Lonchura striata: one gene and its partner. The protein of the gene in region 2 binds, or shares a complex with, the protein of the main gene of each other region. Links are inferred from orthologs where the notes say so. Each region holds a gene or a part of one and is shown on either strand. Other genes may lie near its edges.

Region 1 (10,171 bases), on a different chromosome or scaffold from region 2:
GGAATCTTTTCTTTTTAAACCAAAATGCCCATGTTAACTTCATTCCAGTTCTTTGTATTTGGTGTGAGGGAACAAGTTTTAATGAGGAAATGACCAATGAGAGAGTAGCTATATTGTTAGGAATAACAGGGTTTATTCCTCGCTTACAGATGACTGTAGCATTAGAGTTTTCCTATTTTTGTACACTTGCTTGATAATATGTGGCTGGCACCTCTTGAAATAAACACTGAAACGTTTATTTGCACTTTGAAATAAGCACATGGGTTTTCCCCAGGGAGCTACTGTTCTTTGCAGCTGAAAATAAGGTTTATTTGTGAAGTCTCTATCTAGTGGGTCACCCCAAAATTTATCAGAGATTTTATTAAAATCCATTCAAAGTTTCCACATGTTTTCCTTGGTGAGTGGAGCTATCTGGATTCTTTGGGGGATTTTTCAGAAGTATATTTTTTTCCACACAGACAGTTTCTGTTAAACTCTTTAATACTTAGCATTTGCTAAATGAAAACCAAATATTTTTGCGTATACAAAATTTATGTCTGGAAAGAGAGAGACTGGATGGGAAGAAGGGTTAAATGAGCAACAAATCTGATGAGGAGGAATGGCAGCAATCCACTGGGCTGTAGGCCAAGGAAGCAGGGCTATTTTTATTTTGTGAAAGTTATTAATAGAAGGTGTGCACCTTCTTAAGAGCTTGTATTAATCTTTCTTTGCAAAGGCAGCTCCATGGAGTAACTTCTTAGAGTCTGTTTCTCCCATGAGTCATTATTGATACTGATTTTTATCAATTTTTTTAATGTCAAGTGCATTCCTACAATTCAATGGTATGATTATATGTTTTACAGAAAACTGGAAATAACTAATTTTTAAATTCAACTTTTATAAATCAAATTGTAAAATCTCTTTTTTTTCCCCGCGAGTAAAGTTTTGTGATTCTTTTGATGTTTAATGAATGGAGAATTATACTGATAAAAAATAGTTTTTAACCAGAAGTGTCTTTTAATTTCTTCCAGAGATGGGTGGTCTTTCCCTGTCGTCCTGGTGAGTGAAATTTCAGGGTTTTAGTTGTGCAATGCCACAATGTCACTGCAGTGTTAAATGTTCACTCTGACTCTTGCTGTTTGGTTTCTTCATCCAGGCAAGGCCAGGACTTTTCAAAGTAAGGAGCAGCCAAAGCCCTTTTAAGGTGAGAAGATGGAATCACCCAGTGCTGTGCAGGGTCCTGGAAAGGCCAGGCCAGGAAATCTCCCCTGCTCCACATTTCCATTGCATTTCCACGGACACTGTCAGCCCAGCACAGAGTTCTCCAGAGCACACACTTCCCAGAGCTGCGTTTTTGACTCTGAGCTCAGGGGCTGCAGCTGAAGTTGCAGCTGAGCCCAGCTGTGGCTCGGGGCTGGCAGGGCCCGTGGAAGGTCCCAGAACTGAGTCCTGACCTCCAGCTGATTGCCACAGGAAAATCCCAGCTGACCCCTCATCCAGGCAGGGAGGGGAGCAGCAGCAGCTCCATCGCAGTGCCATGGGGAACGCTTGGCTCTCCTGGCAGGGGAGCATGGCAGGAATTAAATCAGTGTTCTTGCTGCACTGCTGCTGATGCACCCGTGCTGGTTTTCCTGGGAGGAAGGGCTTGGAAGGAAGGGCTGTTTTCCCTGCAGCTGGAAGGGCTCTGCAGAGATGCAGGGATGGCACTGGTGCTGCAGCAGTGCAGGGCTGGCACAGGGTGTTGCAGCAAAGCAAAGCTGGCCCTGCTCTCACACACCCAGAATTTCTCTGTACAAGGATTTCCTGCAGGAGCTGAGTGTCCAGCACAGAACTGACCCTGCTCAGTGTCCAACACAGAGCTGACCCTGCTCAGTGTCCAGAACAGAACTGACCCTGCTCAGTGTCCAACACAGAGCTGACCCTGCTCAGTGTCCAACACAGAACTGACCCTGCTCAGTGCCCAACACACAGAGCTGACCCTGCTCAGTGTCCAACACAGAACTGACCCTGCTCAGTGTCCAACACAGAACTGACCCTGCTCAGTGTCCAGAACAGAACTGACCCTGCTCAGTGTCCAACACAGAACTGACCCTGCTCAGTGTCCAACACAGAGCTGACCCTGCTCAGTGTCCAGAACAGAACTGACCCTGCTCAGTGCCCAGCACACAGAACTGACCCTGCGCAGTGTCTGGCACACAGAGCTGACCCTGCTCAGTGTCCAGTACACAGAACTGACCCTGCTCAGTGTCCAGCACACAGAACTGACCCTGCTCAGCGTCCAGCACACAGAACTGACCCTGCTCAGTGTCCAACACAGAACTGACCCTGCTCAGTGCCCAACACAGAACTGACCCTGCTCAGTGCCCAGCACACAGAACTGACCCTGCTCAGCGTCCAGCACACAGAGCTGACCCTGCTCAGTGTCCAGCACACAGAGCTGACCCTGCTCAGTGTCCAACACAGAACTGACCCTGCTCAGTGCCCAGCACACAGAACTGACCCTGCTCAGCGTCCAGCACACAGAACTGACCCTGCTCAGTGCCCAGCACACAGAGCTGCTCTCCTTTGCAGAGGAGCTGCTGCAGGTGCCTTTCCTCGGCTCTTCTGAACCTCTCTGGAGCCAGCTCTGCCAGCAGCAGAGGGTGCTGCTTGCCCGTGCTGCTGAGAGCCTTTTCCCAGCCCTCCCCTGCCCAGGGCTCAGAGGGCTCGGGGCTCTCTGTGTGAGCAATGGGATCCCCTCTGCTGCAGCCTGCCAGCTGCAAGGGCAGTGTCCCTCCCATCCACAGAGTCTGTCCCAGCCTCACACGCCATGCTGGGAGCCCCAAGGATTTAAATATTTCGCTTCAGACATCCAAAAGGGTTTTCAGAAGGTGGATGCTCATCCCTGTCAGTCCCCAGGGCTAATCTGTAGCGCTGAATGCTGATCACAGGAAAGCAGCCCTGCCAAGCCATTCCTCCTCCTGCCTTCCTTTCAATCGTCTCAGCAAAAACTCACAAGGATGGGAGCTGGGAAAGTCTCAGCTAATCCAGGCTCCATCCCCAGCCAGTTCTCCAAAAAGGCTTAGAGGGATCCCATTGCAGGCCACAAACGCTGGCCCCTGTCACTCACCCCCTCTGCCTCTGTGCTGCTGTTTGAGATGGAGACAGCGCTCAGAGCAAGCGACTGAAGGTCAGCAATTCCTGCTTCTTGAGGAAGCAAGAAAGACAAATGCTAAGGAAATAAAAGCAGACAGGATTCCATAGGAGCTGTGATCTCATCTGGCGAGAAGCCACCACAAAGCTGAGAAGTTCTGCTTCAGCACTTGTCATGTCTGGTTTCCTCCAGCTTCCCTGCTGCTCCTCTCACTCCTCCACCCCACTTCTCCCTGAAATTAGTGGGGGGAAGTAACTTAAATATGAGCAGGACCAGGTCAAAGCAAACTAGTTTTGAAAAAGCTACCCAAATATGTATCTATTTGACATAAACTCTCCTATTTTTATTTTGCAGGGTGTGAAAGAACGTATTTGTGCTGTATCTACAATGTCCCCGGTGTTTCTGGTCAGCTAGAGTAATAAATTTATTCTGATGTGAATGTGGTTTTTTTTTTTTGAAGGACCACAGTGGCTGGCATAGAGGAACTATTCCCCACAGATATCAAAATATGCTCAACAAATTATTGAATTAACCATGCTCTTTTTCCACGAGTGCCCCAAGACCATCAGTGACGAGAAATGTCAAGACCCATGCTATTGTCCAACCCCAAAAAGCAGTGACTGCAGCAGCGTGCAGGGGCATTCATTCCACACTGACTCAGATGGCAGGCTGCCACCTCCTGAATCACTCGCACCACTTCCTGCAGCTCCTAGGTGGTCCTTGGAGGTATCCCATGCAATATGGCTTGCTGAATTTATGACAATCCACGGCTTTACAGCTTGAGCAGCATCGCTACAAACCAGTCTTTTTGTCTGGAAACGCTGAAAAATTAATAATCTCAAAGGGGCACTACAGGGCCAGATTTGTCCGAAGGGTTGATTTTAGAATGAGGACTGAAAAGAACAGAATTGTACTTCCCTGGTTTATTTCTGTAAACACATGAGTCTTTAAGAAGCAAACAGACATTCCCAGGAGCGGTTGAAACAAATCACAGAATCGGTTAGGTTGGAAAAGACCTCTGAGATCACCGAGTCCATCCTGTGACATAACAGCACCACGTCAACCGGAGCATGGCACAAAGTGCATTTCCTAAACACCTCCAGGCACGGAGACTCCGCCGCCTCCCTGGGCAGCCCCGTCCCGCGCCCGATCCCCGTTTATGTGCAGAAACGCGGGACCGGGACACCGAGGATGGAGCGGTGGCCGAGCGCCCGCACGGTGCGCGGGGATGCCAGCGCCACGCCCGGGGCTGGCCCGGTCTGCAGCGAGCGTGGGGAGCAGCGCGGATCTCACACGGAACGGAGCCGGCACCGGGGCGGGGATGGGCACCGGGGCGGGGATGGGCACCGGGGCGAGGATGGGCACCGGGGCCGGGATGGGCACCGGGGCGAGGATGGGCACCGGGGCGGGGATGGGCACCGGGGCCGCCGTGGGCACCGGGGCCGCCGTGGGCACCGGGACCGCCGCGGCGGGGCTGCCGCTGTGCCCCGCGATCGCGACCTCGGCCGGCGGCAGCGACCCGGCCCGGCTCCGATCCCGGCCCGGCTCCGATCCCGGCCCCGCTCCGATCCCGATCCCGCTCCGATCCCGATCCCGCTCCGTTCCCAGCCCCGCTCCGATCCCGGCCCGGCTCCGATCCCGGCCCCGCTCCGTTCCCGGCCCCGCTCCGATCCCGGCCCGGCTCCGATCCCGGCCCGGCTCCGTTCCCGGCCCCGCTCTGATCCCGGCCCCGCTCCGTTCCCGGCCCCGCTGGTCCCCAGCCCCGCTCTCTGCTCGGCCCCGCTCCGTTCCCAGCCCCGCTCCGTTCCCGATCCCGCTCCGTTCCCGGCCCCGCTGGTCCCCAGCCCCGCTCCGTTCCCGATCCCGCCCCGTTCCCGGCCCGGTTCCCGGCCCGGCCCCGCCGCTCCCCGGCCCCGCCCGCCGCCGGCGCTGCCCGGGCGGAGCGGCCGCGCCCCGGGCCGGGCCGGGGGCGGAGCGGGGCCGTGCCGGGCGCTATTTGGGCCATGTGATGCCGGCCCGGCCCCGCTGGGCGCGCCGGAGCAGCGGGCGCGGGGCTCGGCCTGCCCGGGGCACGGCACGGCACGGCGCGGGGCCATGGTCCGGCGGGCAGCCCGGGCACGGTAGGAGCCGGAGCGGGCGGGGCGGGGCGGCTCCGCGGCCTCTCCGCTCTCGGTGCCAGCGGAGCGGTGCCAGCCGCGGAGCCGGGGCGAGGCCGAGCGCTGCCGGGGCCCGGGGCACCGAGGGGGCGATGGGCACCGGGGGTCTGCAGCCGCACCGGGGATGCCGCGGGAGGAGCGGCTGCCGGAGCCCGGGGCCGGGTGCGGGTCGGAGCCCGGGGCCGGGTGCGGGGCTGAGCCCGGGGCCGGGTGCGGGGCTGAGCCCGGGGCCGGGTGCGGGGCTCAGCCCGGTGCCGGGTGCGGGGCTCAGCCCGGTGCCGGGTGCGGGGCTCAGCCCGGTGCCGGGTGCGGGGCTCAGCCCGGTGCCGGGTGCGGGTCCGGGAGCAGACAGCAGCAGCGGTGCCGATCGCCCCGGCTCGGGAGGGCAGCGGGGCTGTTCGCTCCGGGGCCGTGCTTACCGCGGGGGGCTCCGGAGCGCACCTTACAAGGTCTGGTTACTGTGTCTCTTTTCTTGCTACACGAACCTCTGCCAATGCAACGGGGGCTTACATAATCCTCCTGCTGGAGGACCTGGAGTGCTGTTGTAAGGTCAGTCTTGCTGTAGCCTCCTGCTGGACTGTGCCGTGTTTTGTCCTTATTCCCTGGCTAAAGTGAGCAGCCAGGGTGCCTGGTGACCATGCCTGATTCAAAAACTGTCAATTGTCTGAGCCATGGCTCGAGATAAGGAAGTTTACAAAACGATTGTAAAAGTGGGAGTTGCTCCTTGGAGAGAGATTTTTTTTTTTTTTTTTTTTTTTTTTTTCCCCATGATAGCGATGCAGGATGGCTCAATGAGCCTTTTGTCCCAGGAGTAATCTTTCCCACCCCTCTAACATCCGATTTCTACACCAGATGCAGCGTTGCAAAGCTCAGCGGCACAGACAGCTCAGTCTTGCTGGAGTAAGTTGGCTGCTGCATCGCCAGGACCAAACTGTGCAGTGCCTCCAGGGCCTCACAGTGACAGTGGTGTGGCTATGGGATGGTCAGAGTGGCTCTCCCAGCCTGCAAGGAAGGAAATTTCCTGGTGAGTTATTAAGGGAACAGCCAGGAACGCGACAGAGCCGTGCTGCTGTTTACAGATGTGGAGGAGCATCTTCCCTGAGCTGCCCGCGGGAGCTGCCCTGTCCCTCCCTGCCTGTCACCGTGTCACCGTGCTGGCCCTGCCCAGGCTCTCAGTCGTGGTGCTGATGGATATAAAAAGCAGCAATTTGCTCTTCACCCCCCTGAAAGGCAGGGGACGAGCTGCAGCAGCGGATTCCTCAGGGGATGTTGGGTTGTTGCAGTGCAGCAGCCTTTGCAGCCTCTCTCCTGTGCTCTGGAGGTCACTGAAGTGCACTGTGATGTGCTTTGGAGCTTGTTTGTAAACTGCTGGATGCTGCCGAGACGTGGGCTGGTGTTCCAGGAACTGGCCAGCTGCTACGTGCTGCGTTCGTGTGCAGCCACTGCTGCTGCTGGATGTGGGGAATGGCCTCTGCTTGTTGCTCTCCTGTGCCTGGGTTGTTTTTTTCCCCTGGACCCTCTTTCCTTCCCTCAGAAAAAGTGAAAGCAGTCTGCAAGGTCTGCTTGTCTTCTGAGGGCTAATTAAGAATTCATTAAGTTCCTGGAATTAAAATCTGTAGCTAATGAGCCAGTGAGGACACTGTGCCAGGGTTTGGGCCTGAGTGCAGACACTGCTGACAGATAATACTCCAAGTCACAATGTACCTTTTGAAGAACACGAGATGTGCATTGGAGTATGTTCTGTGGCTCTCGGAAGTTTGTGTCTTGCTCAGATTTTGTGGCTGATGCCTCTGCATGCTCTGGAATTGGCTCTGAGGCCAGTGCAAGTGGTGGCTGCGATTTTGGGCTTTAGTACACTTGTACTTCCTGAGCCTGGAGTCACCCAGGGCTGCTGCTGACAAGGGGTGAGGATTGACTGGGGCTGGCAGGGAGCACCAGTGAGGTGATTTCAGCTGGGCTGAGCTTATCTCCCTGCCCTGTGGCAGGAGCCTTGTACTTGCATTAACAGCTCAGCATAGCAGCAGCGAGGAGCAGCTGACAGACCCGCCTGAGCTGTGAGCTTCCCAAACCTGGTCTGTGGCTGGCTGCCCTCCTTTGTGTTTCCAGGTGTGTGGTGGAGCTCAAACCCACAGCTTACCTTGCCAAGGCACGAGTCAGACACCAGCTCTGTCAGACAAAGCTGTGTGGTGCCTGCAGAGTAGAAGTGAGTAAGTGTCTGGTACCAGACTGCAGTCACTGGGTTCCTTTGCTGGTGGCCTTTGCAGAATGAGCTCATGTCAAGGTGTTGACTCACTTTCAGTTACTGCACTGCTCTGGGAAACAAAGAAATCTTCCCTTGAGTTGCTCCATGTGAGTAACTGCTATAGCTGTCTCTGTTTCCATGAATAATTGCTGGGGGAAGAGAGCACTTGTCCTTAACAAAGATAGGATGTGGGCTACAGGTAATGGTCAAATACTCTCTGCTGAGTGTGAGAAAATATAGCTAAAAAATAACAGTTTCCAAGCACATGGTGGGGAAAATGTGCTGCTGTTAACAGTGTTTTCCCAGGGACTGCTAAAACATCCATTCCCTTTTAACTCTGCACTGCTCTGCCCTTAATGGTAATGCTTTGGAAACTCCTGGGATAAAGTAAATTGATCTGTGGTACTGGTCAGAAAATTCTCTTGCAGACTAAGTGGTTTTTACAGCCAAAAGAAAAATCCTTCTGGGTGTTAATTTGGTACAGGAACTGCTTTTATCTGTAGCTCTGGGGTGGCATGAGCTGCCTGAACTCCGGAGCGTTTAAGGGAAGGAGATACAAAAAAAATTCCCAGTAAGGTTGTGGGGGCAGTGGGGAAGGCACTGACAGAACCCTGAGCTGCAGCATGAGCCCTGTCCTGCTCCCAGGGAAACTGAGTCACTGTGCCAGCCCGAGGGGCTGCCTGGGGGCTGCAGGCTGCCCTTGCAGAGCCCTTCAGGGCTTTAGGAACCTCTAGCTCTTTAGGAAAGAGGAGAGGGAAGGTGTCCTGGAGCACAAGGAGAAGCTGTGAGTGCTGCTGCAGGGCTCAGTGCTGCCTCTCTTTGTCACACGTGTCCTGCCCGGGACTGCTCTGAATGTGCTGAGCTGGCACCGTGTGTGTGTGTGTGTGTGTGTGTGTGTGTGTGTGTGTGTGTGTTTGTGTGTGTGTGTGTGTGTTTGTGTGCACCAGGGAGCGGGGTTTGGAGGGATGAGTGCTGCAGGCAGGCACAGCTGTGGGCTGGCTGCCCCTTCCTCCACATCTCCTCCGTGTGTGGCCACGGCTCCCCAGGCACCCAGCGTTCCCAAAGGCAGAATTCCCAAAGGCAGAATTCCCAAAGGCAGAATTCCCAAAGGCTTTGCCTGTCTGCTGGCTGAGGCTGGGCTGGATGCTGCTTCCAGGCTTTATTTCGTGGGCTCTGCACTGGGCTGGTTCTGGCAGTGGGGTGGGAAAGGTGGGAAATGTCTTACCTGTGCCACAGGGAGGGGTGGGGGTTGGAAGGTGTGGATTTGGCACTGTTCCACTCCTGTGGGAGATGCCTCATCATCCTCCCTTCTGCTTTTATGTGTTGTACTTCAGCGTTGCAGGTCAGATTCGGAGCCTTTTGGGTTAGCATCTTTTTCTCATTTAGTAGAGAATCAGCCACATGGCTTTGCCTTAGCTTTTTTCCTTAATGCCGGAGGGTTTTGTCCACTGATGTTTCCTTGTCTCATGGCTTTGTGAGTTTTTTCTGTTCTAGAACATGGGAAGACAGACTTCGAGTGAAGCAGTGCTGCTGCTGTATAACAATAAAACTTCCCCTGGGAGGAGAAAGTAACACATTTCTTTGTTCTCTTACAAAGCTTTCTCTTTAAGGAAAAGCTTTTTACTTAAACAAACAAACAAAAGGACCCCAACAACCAGCAGCATCTGCCAGATACCAAAGTGAGAGCAATTGAGAGCTTTGGGGCAGAAGGTGGTGATATCTGGATGGAGTTACCAAACATGGGCTTTTTCTTTTAGCCTGGAAGGGGAATTTGATGAAGCTTCTAAGTCAGAGCAGCTGTGGGGATGCTAGCTTCAAACTGCTTTCTTTGGAGAGCTGCTGTGTTATCAAGTCAGGAATCTGTCCTGAGGAGATCCCAGATGGGGCCTTGACACCATAAATGTACAAAGGCACTCAGTTGCACAAAAACTGCAGAAACAACTTCGTCCTGAAGAACGTGAGCCACAGATGGTAAACTGCCAAGAAAAGCAAGCAAGGGGTAAGGCCAGGCCGTTCTCTACATGAGAAGGCTACATTGGTCTCAGATGTTTAGAAATTCTTGGTTTAAACTTCTGCAGGCTTCTCCCTGGCTAAATTCTGGTTTGAATGGCCTCTTGTAAATTCAAATCTGCTTCATGCAGAGATGTGAAAAATGCCTGCATCCTAGCTCTAGAGTCTGGAGGTTAGGAGCAGGCCCTGGAGTTTGCCAAAGTGTGCTTCTTGCCCTGATGCCCTAATTCATTGCTGGGTGGCACCTCGGGCCCCCTGGCTCTGTGCTGCAGGGGGGCAGCATTGCTGCTCAGGGAGGGCAGAGCAAGAATGCCCCTTGGAACTTCCCCACAGCAGCCCGTGGTCCTCCCTGCTGTGCCAGCTTGGCAGCAGCCCCACATGGAGAATCTCCCGTTATATTCAGGCACCCTGTGCTATTTTAAGGCTAAAGCAGTCATGTTGCATGTGGACAGGGAGGGAGGGCTTGCTCTGTCCCACACTGAGCCCAGGGCAGTCGTGCAGCTGGGGTTTGAAGGTTCTGGAGGTGCCCATGTAAAGAAATGCTCAGCACGGTGTGAGCAGCTGGCGAGGGGCGAGCTGAGCTGGAGGGCTCCTGTCCATGTCCCAGTTCCTGTAAACTCCACCAGCTGCAGAATAAACCTGCTGACCCCT
Region 2 (10,193 bases):
CTGACAGGGAGCCATCAGTGGGGATGCAAAAAAAGTTGTATCTTTACAAGAGATGAAAACAGACTGGCTGAACATCCTTTGCAGAGTCCGTATTTGAATTACTTCCACCTTTCACTGCAGTATTTCCCAGGAACAGGTCAGGAGACTTGTGTCTCGGGTCTGGCAGCCTCAGGTACAAAATACACAAATCAGTGTTCCTTACACCTTTTTAAATCATTCATCATTGTGTTATTAACAAAAGAACACTGCCCAACTTAGATCACTTTCATCTGGTTAAGTAGAAATGTAAACTTTATCTATACTGCACATGTTACATAAAACCCAACTATACAACTGTCCTTCCTAAATGAAGATTTTGTTATATATACTCCTTTTTTTTCAAAAATAACCACAAAAATATTTGTTACTCTCCATTTTGAAGTTCAGAAAAAAAACCAAAAAAACCTTACTCACACAGCTATACCAGCATAATCCTCAAACGTAAAGTTACTGAAGTAAAGCTGCAGTTTCACCAGCACAGCCTGGCTTGCTTGGAGCTAGACATAATTATTATAACAATACAAAACATAACTCTCATCCTATATATGGATCCTCACAAAGCACTGTCAGTAAATAATGGGAGCTCTGTGTTTCTTAAGTAGGCCTTAGCACAACCATAAATGAGAAAAATGCCGCAAGTACACTCAACACCTGCATCAAGCTAGTACCTGCAAACTGAGAAACTGAGAAACACGTTCCAAACATAATTAAAAATGGTTATATAATTTAATATTTAAGGAAGATAACATACATAGTAATGGTAATTGCATATAATTCAGTTACCTTTTACAACCTGAAGAATTGTTATGAATCAACAAAACCCAAATCCCACAGCACTTAATATTTAGACAAAATCCAGCTTTCAAGAAACTATTTTACAAGTGCTCAAAGGAAAAACATTGTATTTCAAAAGTCACCATTACTTAAATAAGCACTAGTGCTGAGAAGGTAAAAACCAGCCTTTACTTTTATCATGGTGGTTTCTAAATACAAAGCATTATCAACTTCCACCTGTCACCTTTCACAGTTTCCACTATGGTTTCTGTCCTCCACCAACATCCACACAAAATACACTTAACACACAGAACTCTTTAAGAACTGGCCCTATTATCTTCCCACTGAACAGGAGAGAAATTAATCATTAATAAGTAATCTGCTAATATTCTTTATACCTGTTTCAAGATAACTTGGACAACACAAACTTTTCTTATTCTATCAATAAATTCTCCAGCTCCATCGCAAATCAAATTAAATCCTACTTATTTGGGGCAAAAACTATTTTTGTATTCAGTTTTGGGCAGAAAAGCATTTAGGAGTACATTTTTTCAACAGGTATTTTTCATTTCAGGGGATCTCACTAGTCTCCACCACAGTGGCATGATGATCATAAAGGGGAGATATTTAGCACAAAATGTCTACTTCATTCTTACAAAAATTATTTTCTTGAAAAATAAGACAATGAAACACGAATCAAAGCTCTAAAATAAGATCTCCTGAGAAGAAATTTTAAAACATACACCATGAAGAGCTACAAATGGTAAAATTCAGGGTGTACTACCAAGTCACTATGTATTGACTGCACAGTGAAGCTATGCCTAGTATCAAGTGAGAAAGACAGCAAGAAATGGGAGTGCTGCAGATTACTCCAACAAGCCATCATCTATATCACAGCCTTCTTTTGTCTGAGAACTTCAGCTGACCAGCTTGAATCAATACCTTAAAACATTTCCTCATGACTACAGAGCCGTATGAAAGACATGACAAGTAAATAGTCTGCAAAGCATTAACCTGTAAGTAGGTACTCACATTTGACACTGGAGACTGTTTTTGAAGCTGTTCGCTACCAGGAATGATCTAGTATTCCCTAGCTAAACAATTCTCAGGAATGCATGTGGCAATGAATTTAACATTTAAGAACATTTAAGAAAGGCGAAATACTGAAAAGAGATAGCTCTGCGTACATTTTTTACACTGGTAGAAAATGCAACACTTACTAGTAGCAAGCTTCCCCAATAACACCTTGTACAACAGTTACCTACAGTTATTAAAATCTGAGCCCAAAAATGTGGTGAAATACTTAATTGCTACTTATAGAAGCAATTAGTGTAAAGGTACAAGAAGTTTCCAAGAAGCGCCAACACGTGGCGACACTCAGCAAAGTTTAGGGAGCAGGTGAGAACTCATTTATCAAGGCCTAAATATATTACCCTTAATACAAAAAGATACCCTTAAAAATGCAGCAAATTCAAACAGGATTCTAATGGCTGTGGAGCAAGGAATGTGCTTTCCTGGAAAGCAAGACACATTTTGAACAAAACAAACAAACAGAAACCCCAACCACAAGCAAACTCACCAAACCCCAAATCACACCATCCAAAAACTACCACAGGAACAATAGTTCAAAAATCTATTTCAAAGAACTGGGACGTTAGTCTCAAAGAGCAAAATGAAACCCACTGCTCAAAACCAACCAACCAACCAGAGTAAAACTAGGGACAGGGTACACAACAGAAACCCCTAAAAGACCATGTCATACAACACCCACTGCAATGTGCAAAACCATTACTGACTGGGCTAGTATGAGTTCACTTAGAGAAGTAAAGATGCAGCATTTTAAGGTTCCTAAAAAAGGCACAAGGGGCAGGTATTTAGGAGGGGGTCCGTATAAAACAAACAAGGTACAGTCTACGAGGCTTGCACACCCTGAAGAAAAAACTTAAAGAACTCACTTGTATTCATCACTTTACAAAACAATGATACTGACCTATGCCTAAACTCTTTACCTCAAACTAAAGAGTATGCCAGTACTTGATCTCAAAAACCACAGTTATAAAGATTTCTACTGTTCCTGAAACTCATTTCTCAACCTTTCAAGACCACCTCACATAAAAGGGTGTGAAAGTGCCTAGGATGTCACAATAAAGGGTTAGTAACTTCAGGTGTGAAGAACACGATTTCATCTTTTCCTGCTGCTTCGGAAACAAAGACTTTTAATTTTCTAGACCTACTTTAATAATCCATAATATTAACCAGAAGAAGTACAAATTTTCTTCTATAAAAATATGGTGATCACCATTACTAGTGCAAAACTGTTGATAGAAATCCAACTCTGTTCAGTTTCCTGTGGCCTTTCTTATTAACTGCAAAACAAGCTAAAAGCTTAGTTATCATTCTTCTGAATTCCTCTAGGAGTATTACAAATCAATGCCAGATTTTTATACTAGTAGCAAACCGCAGAGGACAGTGGTGTTGGCTGATAAAAATATCTTCCTCTGCCTCAAAAAAATGCTCTTCAAACCACTACATTTTTTCCAGAGCAGGAAATTCTTCTGGATTCCAAACGGAATAATATTTACACCTGAACATCTATTCCAACCTGATAAATCAATTTTCTCTCATTACTATTGTTTCGACCATACTTTTAACAGGCACGCGTCTCAGTTTGATCCTCCAAAAGGTTTGAACTTGCTCTCTGCCGGCAAGAAGCTACTAAAAAAAAAAAAAAAATGCCGCAAGTTACGACAGGTCTAATTTATTTAGGATAAATGACACCTCATCTGTCCGTCGCTTGGGACGCCGCCGTGCCCCGACCCCCGCGCGGCAGGCGCGGCCCATGGCGCAGCGCGGGCAGCCCAGGCACGGGCGGAGAGCGCTCCCCGGCAGCGGCGGCTCCGCCGCGGCCGCGCCTCCCCCCGTCCCCGCTCACCTCGGCGGCCGGGATGTTCACCACACCTGTCGACCTCCTCTTCTCCCTCAGCTTCCTCTTCTCGATCTGCCCCTTCCCCTTCCTGGCGCTGGGGCCCGAGCTCTTTCCCTTGGCGGTCAGCTTCTCCTCGCCCTCGGGGGAACCCGGTGCGGCGGCGGGCTCGGCCCCGCGGCTCCCGGCGAGAGGCGGCGGCGGCTCCTTGGCGGGAGCGCCGCGGCCCAGGGCCGCGCTGGCGAGGCTGACGCAGTTCAGCGCCCCGCCGGCGGGGGGCGCCGCGCGGTCGGGGGGCAGGTTGTTGTTGTTGTTGTTGTGGAGCTCGGCGGAGGGGCCGCCCCCCGCAGGCCGGGGCTCCCCCCCGCCCGGTGCGCCCGGGGCCGGCGGTGCCTGCTTCGCCCGCATCTTCTCCCGCTTGGCTTTCCATTCCTCCAGAAAGTCCGTGGTGCTACCCCCGGCGCTTCGGTAGCCGCCAGTCGCCATGTTCCCGGCGGGCTGGACGGCGAGAGCGCCCCACCAGCACCGCTGCCGCCGCCCGCCCCGAGGCGGCTCTGCTGCCGCCCGGAGAGGAGAGGTCCCGGCGGGTCGGGCGGGAGAGACGGGGGCGGGAGAGTCGGGGGCGGGGAGAGAGGCTCGGAGTAGCACAAACACCCTGGAGAGAAACAAAGGGGGGACGTGAGCCGTCCCGCCGCACTGCCCATCCCCGTCCCGCCGCCTCGCGACCTCCCCGGGAAGCCCCCGACCCTAGGGGACGGGTCTCCATCACCGGCCGCCCTCGCACGCTCGGCTCCCACGGCTCGGACCGCGGCGCCCGGCCCGGCGCGGCTCGCTCCCCGGGGCTCCCCTCACCCCTCGGCGCGGGGCCGCCCGGCAGCACCCGCCTCCTCCGCCCGCCCGCTGCGGCCACGACGGCCGCGCAGCGCCGTCCCTCGCCCCGGGCCATCGGGTACCGTCCCCCGAAGCCGGTGCCATCCCCCCGCCGCCCGCTTGCCTGCCCGGGGAGCCGCGTTCCCGCGCGCAGCAGGGCGGGGCGAGCGCGGCCGGCGCTCACCTCCCGCCCGGCGGGGCCGCGGATCGGGCGCTGCACAGCGCCGGCGGCACCAGGTGAGCGGCACCGCCTCCCACCGTCCCGGAAGGAGCGGTGCGGCTCCGAGCCTTCCCGAGCTCCCTCCCCTTTCCCCATCGCGGCGCGGACACAGCCGAAGCCAGGGCGGAAACTGCCGAGATGGCCCCGACAATGGGGTGAGGGCGGGGAGGTCCCGCCCGGCCCGGTGCCCGCAGCGCTGCGCCGGCACCTGCCCCGGGCAGCGGCGGCGCGGGGCGGACACGGACCTCGGCGCTCCCGACGAGCGGCAGGAACGGAGCGGGGATGCCCGGGCCGGGACGCCGCCGGCCTCCGCCGCACTCCGCTTCCCCGGCGGCTTTGACGGGCGGCGGGCAGGGGCCGCCGGAGCCCCGCCGGGCGGGGCCGGAGAAGGCGGTCCGCTGTCACACCCCTCCGCGGGGGCTCCGCCAAACCCGCCCCGCACCTGCCGCAAAGCCTCGGCTGGAGGGCCCCGACGTGCGGCCGCCGCCCGCGGGCAGGTGCCGGGCTCGGCCCTGGGCGGGGCGGCTCGCTGTCCCCGCCGGCCCGCCGAGAGCCGCGGCGGAGCCCGGCGCGGTCAGCCCGCGGCTTCGCTGGCGTCGGGGACGCGCCGCGCCGGCCCGGCCTCAAAGCGCGGTGCCGCCGCCGCGCTGTGCGGCGGGGTCGGGGCGCGGTGGGAAAGAGCCCGAGGTCAGTGGCTCCCGCGGCAGAATGGCTTCCTCTGGGCCGCGCCGGTGCTGGGCAGGCTGCTGCTAGCCTGGTGGAAGTTCACTCCCGGGGGCGGAAGGTTGGGAAAGATCCTGTGTTTTCCTGACGTTACAAGACGCCAAGATTCAAGGGGTTTCCGCCAGTCATGCAGCAAAGACTTGACAGATGTCTCGTATAGAAATAATAACAGCCCTCAGTGGGGAAACCTGACTGTGTTAAATGTTAGGAAACGATCATGCAAGGACCGTGGTGGGAGCATGTGCTATCTGTTGAAGAGCTTATGTAGGTGATAATATGGATAAACGTGCACCGAAAACTCAGCTGTTTTTTTGGTTTTTCGAACTCACTGTGTCTTTGTAACACCCTGGATCGTGGTACTTTTGAAAATCACAGCTTTCAATAGATTTGTGGCTTGCTTAATCGTGCTTTATGAGTGGTATGTTGAGGAAAATTAGTGTATCAGTGCCACCTTTCCAGCTGACTCAGGACAAGATACAAGCTTGCATCAGTCAGAGGAAATCCATATAGCCTGGATTTACCTAGCTGAGAGCACATGATCACCTTTTCTCCTCTTTTCAGATTCAGTCCTGAATTTGTCCATCTAGTTAAAAAAAAATCAGTAATACTTCAGAATATAAACTTTGCAATTATTTTTAGTTTCTTTTTACAGAAAAATAAATATATAGGTGATACGGATAAAAAATATCCAGCAAAATGGAGCTCCAAGTATCTGCTGCTAGGCTCTCTGCACAATGTGAATAACAGGATTAGTCCATGTAGCCACTTGTGCCTTAAATAAGCCACTACTTCATTCTCTTTCACAGCAGTGGGCACAGTTTCACCCTGCCAACCTTCTCTGCCCTTCTGGTGATCATTCATTTACTTGGACTTTTCACTGACCTCATATCTGATTTCTGCTCTGGTTTGGATTTAGGGGTGTTTCTGGTGTGGTGGTTCGTTTTGAAGAGGCATTAAAATGTTATTATAGGTGGAAGTTAAGTTGCAGCTTCATTACTGCGGACAAAACCTCTTATCTTTCAAGCCAAGGGAAAATCCCCAAACAAAACCAGCTAGTTATTCAGTGTTGGGTTGGAAAGCTGTAAGTAGGCGGAAAAATAGATGGCAAAAACATAGTTCTGGTACTCTTTTCTACTCGCCAGTACAAAATAAGTAAAGTTGGTTCTAAAAGAAGTTTTGACTATGCACTCTCTTGAAGAAAGAATTCTTACCCACACTCTTATGTGTAGTTTTTAAATTAGTCAAGTACTCAATTGTATTTCTAGAAAACATAATCTAGAAAAAGGATTTCTGATATGAGTTCTTGTCACTCCTATCATGTAATTTTTCCCCCATTTATACAATGAAGAGCTTTTCTTGAGAGAATCATATGATTGTGAAAATACAGTATTTCACCCTCATTATTACACACCATGAGCAGCACAGCTGGCCAAATATTAGCAAAACAGTCATATTAGAAAGTTGTTGTGTATACAGCATGTTGTGTATATTGAGAAATACAACAATGTACTTTAGTTCTTAGGACACGCTCAGTTCTCTGTTACCCAGGTCATGCCAGCTGCCCCTTGAGCCCCTCTCTCTGTGGCAATCTGTAGCAGCTAGCAAGGCTTAGATGTGCCTGCCCCACTTCATGTCCCATGTGCTCACCTTTCTTATGTGTAGGAGCTGACATGTCCAGGCTTTAGCTGCATCTACCACTGCTGGTTTTTTTCTCTCTACTGTAAAAAACATTGTGAGGTTGGGGGAAGGGGGTGTTTGGGGTTTTTTGGTGCTTTTTTGTTTTGTTTTGTTTTTTGTGCCAAAAACGCTTTGTTTGTTTTATAGTCTGTTATAAATTAACAAAAGTTATGTTGTGGTGAGTGAGGTTGGGCTTAAGTGCCCAATACAGAAATGCTGACTGTCAGATGTTTGCATCTCAATAAGGTTGTCTGTGCTGGAGAGCTTTCAGGGATAAAGTCCCAAATAGTTTAAGTATCTGTTTTCCTCTGCCACAAGGGAGAACAGTTTAATAGCTTACAAACGTTTTTAGAACAACATTTTTCTCTTTTCTTACAAAGGAAAATTAATCTTCAAGATATCCTTAAGTCCTAGAAATACAATTCATTTTATTAGCTATGTTTTAAGCTGGCATAATGTAAGGGTCCTTAAGCCTTAAGATATTGGTTTTTATATATTCTGGAATGACATTCTTCCCTAGAGGTAAAATTACCACCAGGATTGGGTAGGATGATATTGGTCTCCTTTGCCATGGAAAAAAATACTTCATTTTTTAATTTAGAGTAAAACCCATGATTCATTCTTAAAATCACAAGGAAATGAAGTGCCTTTTGGGGTTGGGCACTTCAAAGCTGCCTTCTTTGTAAAGGGTTGCAAGCTGCTTCAGGTCTTCATAATTTCTTCTAGAGATTAAGCCAAATTATCCAACCTTATTAACGTTCTGAATTCAAGTTTATCTGAGCCATAATCTTTTCTGAAGTGGCAATTTTCAAGAACTGGAAAATAAAATAGAGAACATAATAGCATATTAATGGCTGAGGAAATTAAGGACAACATCCAAATTCCTGCCCAGTGTCTGTTTACTTGTTACCATCACACTCTGAGCTTAGCAAACATTTGTTATATACATTCGTGTTCTGCACTGAAACATTCCCTCCATCTCACGCTCTTCAGCATCTCTCCCCAAAGTCTCTGTGTTCACCTGCCTGATTCTCAAACACACATGCTCCTCCTTCTGCTCCAGACTTTGCCTCTGCCTATTACTGGGATTTCCATGAAACTCTTCCACTTGGTGCACCTGCCTACTGCTTCCCATACTGGATCCTCTTTGAAGTTCATTCACTCATCATTCTTCATCTTTCTTCTCCCAGTCCAAACTTCTACAGTCACATACTTGCTCTACCTGCTTTATCACTCACGCTTTATTAAACTAGGTTTATTTAGCTTGCACTGATGATGTTCCACTAAACTTTCCCTCTCTGTTGCTTTAAATTTTACTTTCTGGATAACCCTCACCCATATCACTGTACCCTAACTAACCCACCTACCTGCTTATTTCTGCACTATCTGTCCAGAAATGCTGTTGCTTAAAATTGCTGTGATTTAGTGAAATCTTACAGCCATATTTTTGTAGGAACAGCTGTTCTTTTTATCCATAAAATTTCAAAAACCTCTCTTTAAACCTTTCGTGTTAAATCTCTGGCTGTAACTTCTGTCTAATCTTACCATAAATTCCCTGCCTATGTTCCATGACATTTCTATTGTCAAATCTCACCTGAAAGTAAAATAGTCCTCAAGCATATAATCCTCCTTTTTAACCTTTTATTGCTAGTGGTCTTGGGTGCTTTTGTCTAAATGCAGGTGAACTGCTATCCCTTTCAATTTAATACTACTATCTGCTACTTTTGAGCTATGTACACTGTTCTGAGAGGCTTAGCCTATCATCAGGGATTTTCCATTTCCTCAACTTTTCTTGCAGAAATTGATTAAATTTTTCTCTTTTTCCCCCTCACTACAGATGGGGGGCATAGTGCTAACCTTCTGGCTAGGTTTCCCTCTCTAAGGTTCTAACAACTCATTATGTTCTAGTTGCTGTAGTCAGTGGTTTAAATGGATTGCTTTCTTACATTTTGTGTCTGCAAACTTGCACAAATCTGACAATCCTGCTTTTAATGAAATGCCATTTTTATCCTATTTGCGGTGATACCGAGTTGCATGCTTAAACCTTTTTTTTTTTAAAGTGCTAAGGTCTGATTTGAAATCTTATGTGTAAATAAAACAGCTTTGTGAAATAGCTGGATTTATCAGCAGGCATTACTGAGTGCATCCTCTAGTCTTATTTCTGTATGTGTTTTGCCATTCTTGAACTCTGCTATCATTTCACCAAAAAGCTAAGTAGTTTCTTTGAACTAGTTTGGTTTGACAGACAAACTAGTATTGTTTCTTGCAGCAAAGCTTATCATCTGTCTGATGGAAGAATGCAGTGTCAAAAGGCAAAAAACAAACTGACAGAAGTTTGCTTGATGTATTTTTTTTTTAAGTATTTAATCTTACAGTATGAAAAAATAATTCAGAGATTTCCATCTGTCTCCAGTTGGCAGTTGTTGGATAAGAATGACAGTGGGGTTGGGAATGGATTCAGCATCTGTGCAGATGGCTTTGGAAGTGTGATGAGAATGCTTAAAGGATGTAAGCCAGCCTTGGGTGTTTTCTAGGGCCTGTCTTTGTGCCACGTTGTCCTCTAGAGTCCTGATTTCTTGGGAATGCCCTAAATGGGCAGCTGGCCTGCCACCATCTTCATTAGTGGAGAGTTAGTTACCCCACTGCTGTGCCATTTAAGATCCTGTCTATCACCTTGCTGATAAAGAGCTGACTGTACTGCTCCATGTGACAGAAATAATATCATAGGTGTAAACTACCTTATAAGATAACCTTATCTTATCCTTTTTATGATGTTTCCAGCACGTATGGAGCCTACTCATTCTTTTTAAAGACAGCACCCTCTGACATATGCCTGCTTTAGTTTTAGATAGTTCTGCAGAAACAGGGAGTTGGACACAATGACCCTATGGGTCCCACCCAACTCAAGATACTTCTGTGACCTCTATGCAGCTAGCTCATAAGTTTAAAACATTGTTAAACAGATTT

The links.
Region 1: the proteins of PAWR (region 2) and SPSB1 are in contact, whole or in part, in a crystal structure (PDB 2JK9), measured with the Homo sapiens proteins. The link is inferred for Lonchura striata from reciprocal best matches to the Homo sapiens genes PAWR and SPSB1. Residues at the interface, in NP_001341661.1 of Homo sapiens: Glu68, Leu69, Asn70, Asn71, Asn72, Leu73, Pro74; in NP_079382.2 of Homo sapiens: Arg77, His78, Pro79, Val80, Ala81, Gln82, Gly110, Thr111, Tyr129, Val216, Trp217, Gly218.

Annotation. Positions count from the first base shown.
Region 1 is NC_134626.1:1,321,771-1,331,941, forward strand, and holds the start of SPSB1 (SPRY domain-containing SOCS box protein 1), read left to right. Parts: upstream 1-5,144; 5' UTR 5,145-5,232; intron 5,233-10,171. UniProt on the Homo sapiens protein: Substrate recognition component of a SCF-like ECS (Elongin BC-CUL2/5-SOCS-box protein) E3 ubiquitin-protein ligase complex which mediates the ubiquitination and subsequent proteasomal degradation of target proteins.
Region 2 is NC_134607.1:48,542,881-48,553,073, forward strand, and holds the start of PAWR (PRKC apoptosis WT1 regulator protein), read right to left. Parts: upstream 4,228-10,193; 5' UTR 4,223-4,227; coding exon 3,746-4,222; intron 1-3,745. UniProt on the Homo sapiens protein: Pro-apoptotic protein capable of selectively inducing apoptosis in cancer cells, sensitizing the cells to diverse apoptotic stimuli and causing regression of tumors in animal models.